3 linked regions of the Oryctolagus cuniculus genome follow. The protein of the gene in region 3 purifies or fractionates together with the protein of the main gene of each other region. This does not show direct contact. Links are inferred from orthologs where the notes say so. Each region holds a gene or a part of one and is shown on either strand. Other genes may lie near its edges.

Region 1 (3,500 bases), on a different chromosome or scaffold from region 3:
CAAGTCCTTGGGCCACTGCACCCACATGGGAGACCCGGAAGAAGCTCCTGGCTTCAGATCGGCACAGCTCCGGCCATCTGGGGAGTGAACCAGTGAATGGAAGACCTCTCTCTGTCTCTGTCTGTACCTCTCTGTAGCTCTGCCTTTCGGATAATGAATACTAAATCTTAAAAAAAAAAAAAAAAAAAAAAGACAGCCTTCTGTGTTAGACTGTCAACAGCTTCACACAACTCAGGGTCACCACATCGCTTGACTGCATCAAGATGCTGCATGGGGGGCATTGGTCTCTACCATCTGGGTTCGTGTAAGGGCATGCTGTGATTTTGTTCACACAGGGACAAAGTCATCTAATGATGCATTTTTTTCAGAACATGTCCCTATACCATTTGGTATGTGGTGAACTTAGTTTCCGTATCACTAGAAATCTCATTTTGATATAGTCTCTTAAAATGTGGGGTCCATCTTTTTGTGTCTTGCCCATCCTTGTATTGCTTGCTGTGGTGTCTAGTACAATAATGATCTTGTAAAATCTGGTCGCTGGGAGTGTAACTCAGTGAGAAAATGAATGGGACTCCAGCTGACTCCAAGCCCAGCAAGACAGGGACTGTGCCAGTGTTGCTTCTTTCTTACATTCTGCCCAACACAGCATATGGTGCCTTGCAGGGGCTCACAAGCCTGTGAGCTGACCCATAATAATCCCTGTGTCCTGTAACCATTTTGTGCAAAACCCACACTTTGCAGTATTTTAAGGGATGATGCTAGTTACTCTGTTATAAATGGTGTTATATCATCAGTAAATTTGTGTGTGTGTGTGTATGTGTGTAAAAGAGCCAGTGAAACAGAGGCACACAGGAAGAGGGAGGGAGGTGGGAAGAGAGAGAAGGAGAATTGAAAGAAATGCCCCATTAAAGCTAGACCACTGTCGACTTGGAATCCCACAGGCCCAGGCATTACCACACCTGGCTTCTGCCCAGTCAGTGCTGTAAACTCATGGTTGAACCTTGTCTGAGGCCCTCATCCTATTAACTATATTCATCTGTGAGATGGTTGGACTAAAAGTAATACAAGGTTAATGCAGACCTGACAGCCATGGTTTTTTCATAATGCATTGATAGGTGTCAATACAAATGTGAAAATGCTGTACTACTTATGGTGACACCCAGGTGTATATACATATACATTTATATATGTATATGATTTATATATATGTATATGATTTATGGCATAGAAATTTCAGAAGGGCACTGTGAATAGAAACCTTTATGACTTTCCAGTGACAAAGACATCACAGCCACAAGATTGTGTCTGTGGGAAGGATCTGAGATTGACAGCCACCTGTCAAGACCAAGGAATGAGGCCTGGGACCCAGGGTAGTGGCTCCAATAATTCCCACTTCAAGGCATGTCCTCCGTGGATGCTGATCCAAGGGGGCTTACTCCAAGGAGCACAGAAGTGAAGGGTCTTGTATTGGGGATGAGAGTTTGAAGTCTCCCATGGAGGAGACAGGCATGAGTCTGGGACTGTGGGGTCTCTATTATGATCACAACTGTCTCCCTCATCTCTAGTTAGAGGTGTTGTCTCTTGTCAGTATACACGGAGCCTTGAATTGCCTTTGTGGCTGCCTGTCATGGTGGTCGGTTTCTGAGTGTCTCTAGCCAAAGTTAGGGCTCTGTGTTCAGCTTCCCCTGCCTACCAACCCGTCTCTCTTGTTCCTCAGAGGCAGAGGCTGCAGCCTCCATGAGGCACAACCACACCAGGGAAAGATGAGCAGAGACATCTGCATCCATGCCTGGCCCTGCTCCTACTACTTGGACCTTGAGAAACGATGGGTCCCTGGGAAGCTGTCCTTAACGTCGCTCTCACTGAAGTTCACAGCGGACAGAGCTGGTGAGGTTCTTGTTGGCTTTCCCCTCTCCAGCATCACTGAAGTGAAGAAGGAGGCTTCACATTTCATCTTCAGCTCCATCACCATCCTGGAAAAGGACCATGGCAAGCACTGGTTCAGCTCCTTGAGGCCCAGTCGCAATGTAGTCTTCACCATCATTGAGCACTTCTGGAGGGAGCTGCTGCTATCCCAGCCAGGAGCTGCTATGAACACTGTGTTGTCCCCCTCATCCCGGGGGAAGGAGCTCACTGGATTGATGGCTAGGTCCCAGAAGCGTCTGGAAGATACTGCGAAGGTCCTTCACCACCAGGGTGAGCAGCTGGGCAGTGTCATGAGGGGCCTGGAGAAGATGGAGTCAGACCTGGATGTGGCTGACAGGTGGGCTAGCCAAGAAATTGCTCTGGCTCAGCCAGGGCAGGGTGCATGTTTGGTGTACAAAACATGTTCTGAGAACAAGACTGAGAGACACACACACCTGCATTGCACAGCATGTGGGACACACATGGTGAGACACACGCACCTGCAAGGCACAGCATGTGGGACACACTTGGGGAGAGACACGCACCTGCATTGCACAGCATGTGGGACTCACATGGTGAGACACATGCACTTGCATTGCACAGCATGTGGGACACACACGGTAGGACACACGCCTGCATTGCAAAGCATGTGGGACATACGTGATGAGGGACACACACCTGCATTGCACAGCATGTGGGACACACATGGTGAGAGACACACACTTGCAAGGCACAGCATGTGGCACACACATAGTGAGACACTGGTGTGAGCTGTGTGAGTAATGTGTACACACCATGTGTGGTATACAAGGTGAGAGACACAGGCATGAGCTGTGTGAGTGATGTGTTCCTGTCAGTGAAGCTCCTATTTGGTGATCAGGACACACTTGCCTCACACATTGTGGTTGGGAGAGTGAGTTTTGGTGAATTTTTGTTTATTTCCATTTTATTTGCAAGGCAGAGAGAGAGAGTCAAACAAGGAGATCCTCTAACTGCTGGTTCACTCCTCAGATGCTCACAACAGCCAGAGCTGGGCCAAGCCATAGCCAGGAAGTCAATCCAGGTCTTTCACATTGGGAGCAGAGACCTAAGTATTTGAGAAATCATGTGCTGTATCCCAGGGTGCTCATTAGCAGCAAGCTGAATTGGAACTGATGTAGCCAGAACTCCAACTAATTTAGAATGCAGTTGTCTCAAGAGGCATCTTAACCTCTACAACAAATGCCTGCCCCTTTTACTTCATTTCAAACAGTTCGTTCTTCCTGGGACTCCCTTTTTTTTTTTTTTTTTTTTTTTTTTACATCTGACAACCTGGACTGTTCTTGTAATGTTATTCTATTCTCACGTTGCCTCTTTTTTTTCTTTTCATGGTACTGTGTGTATCTTGCGTTTTATATCTCTTCTATTTCTGTTACACTTCATTATAGGAATTAATTTTTCCCCAGTGCTTCTCTTGAGTGGCATCTTGATCTTTCTTCTGGATGATGCCTCCCGCATGTTATCACTGGCATTGTTTCACACTTTTTGGGGGCCTGCTTTTTCCTGCATACTTTTTCTCTGTTTTATTATGTGTTTTTCTCTTCAGAAACATCTCT
Region 2 (2,496 bases), on a different chromosome or scaffold from region 3:
GCCCAGGCGCGATGACCCTCATGAGTGGCAGCTAGGGGACTTTCTGAGGTTCTGTCGCACTCTGCTCTCCCAGGGTTGCTGTCAGCACTGGACCTGGTTGAAGTCAATCCTCGGTTAGCTGCTTCAGACGAAGAGGCGAAGGCCACAGCTAGCCTGGCGGTGGATGTGATTGCTTCAAGTTTTGGTCAGACAAGGGAAGGAGGACACACCGTCTATGAGCAACTTCCTCCACCCAGCTCACCACACGAATCGGAAAATGCAGAGCGCGTGAGAATTTAGGAGACACTGCACTGACGGTCTTTCACAACGGGCATTCCAGAACCGCAGGCACTTGAGGGGACAGACTGACGGGGTTGTCTGGGTCAGCACTGCCTTAATGGGCACATCTGCGCATTCTCACAACGGTACAGGTGCCCCTCTGCATTTTGGTGACCAATAATCCTACTGCAAATGTATTTTTCCCAGTCCACAGGTATGAACATGTTATGGTACTATGTACATTTAAAGGGGTCATAAACAGCATTTATTACCTTGGTATATCACTCGTCTTGTCGCTGTTCTTCCCCCCCTCCTCCCACACTCCGGCTACACAGCATGTTCACAGCAGTAACATGCTTCATTCACAGGGTCAAAGTTCTGGTCCACACTCCTCCACTCAGAAAGTTCAATGCTTGTGAAAGAATTTGTAATAGATCAGGATTCCCAGGATCACCAGCTCCAGCAGGATGACAATGGAAAGTAGCAGCTTGTTGGTTATCACTCTAAGAAGAGAAGCCAGAGTGGAGTAGTCAGAATCCTCATAACCTTATTTCTTCCTATCTGAGTATTTTGGGGTTGTAAGGCCCATCGAGTTTCATCATGCAGTCACTTAGCACTAAGTACTTCGAAGGTTCTTTAATGAGTAGGCAACACCTCATGAGGCTTGTTAGCCATAACCTAGGGATAACTTGTGGTCATGAGGTAGACAGCGTTAACAAAATACAAGAATGTCTTTTTTTATATAAAAATTCTAGGAACTTGCCGGCGCCGCGGCTCACTAGGCTAATCCTCCGCCTAGCGGCGCCGGCACACCGGGTTCTAGTCCCGGTCGGGGCGCCGGATTCTGTCCCGGTTGCCCCTCTTCCAGGCCAGCTCTCTGCTGTGGCCCGGGAGTGCAGTGGAGGATGGCCCAGGTGCTTGGGCCCTGCACCTCATGGGAGACCAGGAAAAGCACCTGGCTCCTGGCTCCTGCCATCGGATCAGCGCGGTGTGCCGGCCGCAGCGCGCTGGCCGCGGCGGCCATTGGAGGGTGAACCAACGGCAAAGGAAGACCTTTCTCTCTGTCTCTCTCTCTCACTGTCCACTCTGCCTGTCCAAAAAAAAAAAAAAAAAATTCTAGGAACTTTAACTTAAAAATTCCTTTTCTGGCACTAGCATTATGGCATAATGGATTAAGCCACCACCTGCAATGCCAGAATCCCATATGGGTGCCCGGTGCTACTCCACTTCTGATCCAGCTCCTGGCCTGGGAGAGCAGTGGAAGATGGTCCAAGTGTTGGGCTCCTGCACCCACACTGGAGACTGGGAAGAAGCTCCTGGCCCAGCCCTTGCCATTTGTGGGGGGGTGAACCAGCGGATGGAGAATCTGTCTCTCCCTCTCAAAATCTTTTTTAAAAAAATTGCTTTCCTGTAGGGTTCTGTTTTAAAGTCTAGTTCTTGCTCATAAGGCAAAACTTTGAGAAAAGGGGCCAACTCTCATGAAGGGCAAGCAGAGCCAAAAACAAGGACTTAACAATAGCAACAAATGCTTTTCTAATGAAGCTGTCAAACATACAGAGCTGTTATTCCCAGGTGTCATCTTCTGTAAGGAACATAAACTGGGACTTGAGTCCCGTCAGCAGTCAACATGTACACTGCTCCAAGTGAGAGTGGATTACTTTTAACACGGGATCTTATACTGGGATAGCAGACTACCCAAGACCACAGCCCCTACTTTCTCATGAAGTGCTGGGAGGTACTGAGCAGAGGGGGACTACATGGCATCAAGTCCTGAGATGCTTTATTTGGGACCCTTTCAAGTAAGTTACTGTTTTAAGCTTTCTTGCTTGGAAGGTAAGAGTTAAATTGTTACTCCTTATTTTAAAACTTACTTTCTGGACATTGAACGGAGAATCTTTCGACTTTTGCTCAGGTTTTCACTTGTGTTTACCAGCTGAGAAGAGAAAATAGCAATTACTTCCTTTTCAAAAGTGCATGCTGTAGAACTGAATATTCAACTAAGGGTAGGCACTACAGGGTTTATGTTGAAAAATCCCACCCCCCAAAACAAAAGTAAATACACAGCATGACTGCCTCTGGATACTGGCAGGAAAACCTGGAAAGGACAAGCTGCTCTAGCGCTCATCAAGGAGATCCCAGTGTTGCTGGGGGATGGACTAAGCTAACCCCGTGCCTTGGCTCTTCAGAAGAGGAAGGCTTTGAATGTCCCCAGCCAGTGACTGATGCAACCTGTGAGCA
Region 3 (3,198 bases):
AAAAAGGTAAATTTTGTATACACATAAAAAGACAATATTACGAGTCTGTAGTGTTGCCTGTCAAAAAAGAATACCTAGAATGGAATTTTCAATAAACTTTTGGGATACAGGGCAATCAGAATACAAGAGAAAGCAAAATCCACATAAATTAATTCCTAATTGGAGAAACCAATAAAATGTATACATATATTGATAAATACTGTCTCCATGGGTCACTAATTCCAAGGACTAGTTAGTAGTTAGTTTCTAACTAAATTGTTACAGGACGTTCTGGTATGTGCACTCCTCTTGTGATCAGTTTGTTCTGGCAAGACTCCAACCAGCACTTGCCCTTGAAAACAGTTCAGCAGGAGAAGGCTTTGAGGCAACCACACTTCATTTCCCATACACTACCCAGAAAACAATTATCAAGACTGCAATAATCACAGACAGGACAAGCACCAGGATGCACATCTTCTTGCGAGATTTTTTCTGGGGAAAGAAATATGTGAAGAAGACACTCATGAAACAAAAGTTTTAATATCTAAGACTCCAAGAGTGCTTCATAAATCTGCCTCCTTGTAATACAAAATTAACTCTATGCATGCACAAATAGGCAGAGAACATTCACAAAATCTCAACAGTCATCAGCACTAGCACTAGGCAGCAGTGTAAGTTTTAATTCTAGGTCCTTAAATACAGTTTTGCAAAGGAGACATACCTATTATGATAGAAATTATTTATAAAAATAATGCTATTGGGGCTGGAGCTGTGGCGTAGCGGATAAAGGTGCTGCCTGCAGTGCCAGCATCCCATATGGGCGCTGGTTCAAGTCCCGGCTGCTCCACTTCCAATCCAGCTCCCTGCAAATGCACCTGGAAAACCAGCAGAAATGGCCCAAATGTTTAGGCCCCTGCACCCACGTGGGAGACCTGGAAGAAACTCATGGCTCCTGGCTTCAGATCAGCCCAGCTCCGGCCATTATGGCCATTTAGGGAGTGAACCAGCGGACAGAAGACTCATTCATTCATTCTCTCTCTCTTTCTGCCTCTGCCTCTCTGTAACTCTACATTTCAAATAAATAAATCTTTAAAGGGGGAGGGGACAATGTTGTGGCATAGCAGGTAAAGCTGCCACCTGCTGACACTGGCATCCCATATGGGTGCTGGTTTGAGTCCCCACTGATCCACTTCCAATCCAGCCCCCTGCTAATTTGCCTGGGAAGGCAGCAGAAGATGGCCCAAGTACTTGGACCCCTGCACCCACATTGGGAGACTTGTAAGAGGCTTCTGGCTTTTGGCTTCAGTTTCAGCCATTTGGAGAGTGAACAAATGGATGAAGAGTTCTCTCTCTGTGTCTCTCCCTGACACTCTGTAACTCTGCCTTTCAAACAGATAAATCTTGAAAAAATAATAATATTTGTCATATGTATTTTAGTAAGTTTATACCTATTATAAAATTTAATATGCATTGGGAAAAAAAAGGCAAGCAGAAAAATAATCACCCATAGATCAAACTGTTGATGTTTTGATTGTAACTCCTGATCTTTTATCTATGCATACTGTCATTTGCATACATACTGTATGATGTTTGATTTTTTCTCACTTAATGTTTTATATAAGCATCTTTGTTAATACAATTTTTTCATAAATATAACTAAATCCTCACATCATATAATACCAAGTGGATGTATATAAAATTATTCCTTACCATTAGACACTAAAGACATCATGTAGTTTATAAAGGTAAAATTATTATTGAACACAATTTCTTTAAGAACAGGTAGTCTAAGAACATGGAAAATGACTAAAACACGACTTCCAAAAAGCCATGAAAACCAAACTGAGAGGAAAGGAGAAGGACCTCACGTTCACGGTATTTTCACACTGAGATAGAGACCCAGATAAATCATAAAACCAGTTTCAACTAGTAAGTAGAACTTTACTTTGCAGGAACAGTTCCAGTATGACTAAGCTCTACTTATTCAGATATAAATAACAGTTGAAGTGGTCTGTGTCCATCTTCTGTGCCAACAGTCAACATAAATCCTGTGAAACCCTGCTTTAACTGTACTTCTTCCTATCCTAATGGAAGCACATCTCAGCTGATTAGGATGTAAGATTAGCCTTACACCATTTATATTCTAGGTTTCATGCTAGCTTATGGGGTTATTAGTTTTGCAGCTCTGAGGTTTCTGTATATGTTTATTCATGGTCTGATGACATTTTGTAGATCTCCCTGCAAAGGAAATACTTGGGACTGGACCTGCAAGTATGACTGCTTGTCTCCAGCTTCAGCCTAAGCAAAAAGCTGGGCTGTGCTCAGAGTCAGTGCACTGTGGTGGCCCATGAAGTCTGCAGTACAGTGACTTTCTTTGGTTCTTGCTTTTACCTGATAGTAAGCAGCTCGCTGTAACTGATCAGTTGCTCTTTCAACGTGCACCTCTGAACTTTCCACATTGGCTTCTATGCTGTCTGCAAAGAGAAGGATGATGCATATTTTAGCACACCCAGATGTGTCAAGGCTAAAAACTGAACCTACTTCTGATGTTATGGGTTCCTGTTTCATTACTATCCCAGTTAAGAAATCAGAAGTTACTACCTGGATAAGAATATAGCCCTATTCTTAGAAATAAACACTGAAGTATTTAGGGACAAGGGACTCATCCATAAATGCTTCAGGAAAAATTATGTATATATGAATACATTCTCTCTGTCTCTGTCTTGCTCTCACTTGTACGTGCATATGCCCGTGTGCACGCAAACACACACACACACACAGAGTACATCAAAAAGCAAATGACGGCCGGCGCCGCGGCTCACTAGGCTGATCCTCCGCCTTGCGGCGCTGGCACACCGGGTTCTAGTTCCGGTCAGGGCACCGGATTCTGTCCCGGTTGCCCCTCTTCCAGGCCAGCTCTCTGCTGTGGCCAGGGAGTGCAGTGGAGGATGGCCCAAGTGCTTGGGCCCTGCACCCCATGGGAGACCAGGAGAAGCACCTGGCTCCTGCCTTCGGATCAGCACGGTGCGCTGGCCGCAGCGCACCACCCGCGGCGGCCATTGGAGGGTGAACCAACGGCAAAAGGAAGACCTTTCTCTCTGTCTCTCTCTCTCACTGTCCACTCTGCCTGTCAAAAAAAAAAAAAAAAGCAAATGACATAGAATGTTAACAAAAAGTAAACCTAAGTAAAGGTTAAAAGGAGTTCCTTGCAGTATTTTT

The links. The genes of interacting proteins can lie anywhere in the genome.
Region 1: the proteins of STX12 (region 3) and SNAP47 purify together in Homo sapiens (co-immunoprecipitation; 3 studies listed by BioGRID and IntAct, counting the BioPlex papers as one, with this or other methods). This does not show direct contact. The link is inferred for Oryctolagus cuniculus from reciprocal best matches to the Homo sapiens genes STX12 and SNAP47.
Region 2: the proteins of STX12 (region 3) and VTI1B purify together in Homo sapiens (affinity purification with mass spectrometry; 3 studies listed by BioGRID and IntAct, counting the BioPlex papers as one, with this or other methods). This does not show direct contact. The link is inferred for Oryctolagus cuniculus from reciprocal best matches to the Homo sapiens genes STX12 and VTI1B.

The regions. Positions count from the first base shown.
Region 1 is NC_091437.1:30,912-34,411, forward strand, and holds part of SNAP47 (synaptosomal-associated protein 47), read left to right. Parts: intron 1-1,717; coding exon 1,718-2,263; intron 2,264-3,500. UniProt on the Homo sapiens protein: Plays a role in intracellular membrane fusion.
Region 2 is NC_091451.1:13,543,228-13,545,723, forward strand, and holds the end of VTI1B (vesicle transport through interaction with t-SNAREs homolog 1B), read right to left. Parts: intron 2,192-2,496; coding exon 2,130-2,191; intron 762-2,129; coding exon 665-761; coding exon of another isoform or gene 621-664; 3' UTR 501-620; downstream 1-500. UniProt on the Homo sapiens protein: V-SNARE that mediates vesicle transport pathways through interactions with t-SNAREs on the target membrane. These interactions are proposed to mediate aspects of the specificity of vesicle trafficking and to promote fusion of the lipid bilayers.
Region 3 is NC_091438.1:143,809,393-143,812,590, forward strand, and holds the end of STX12 (syntaxin-12), read right to left. Parts: intron 2,454-3,198; coding exon 2,371-2,453; intron 855-2,370; coding exon 720-854; 3' UTR 501-719; downstream 1-500. UniProt on the Homo sapiens protein: SNARE promoting fusion of transport vesicles with target membranes. Together with SNARE STX6, promotes movement of vesicles from endosomes to the cell membrane, and may therefore function in the endocytic recycling pathway.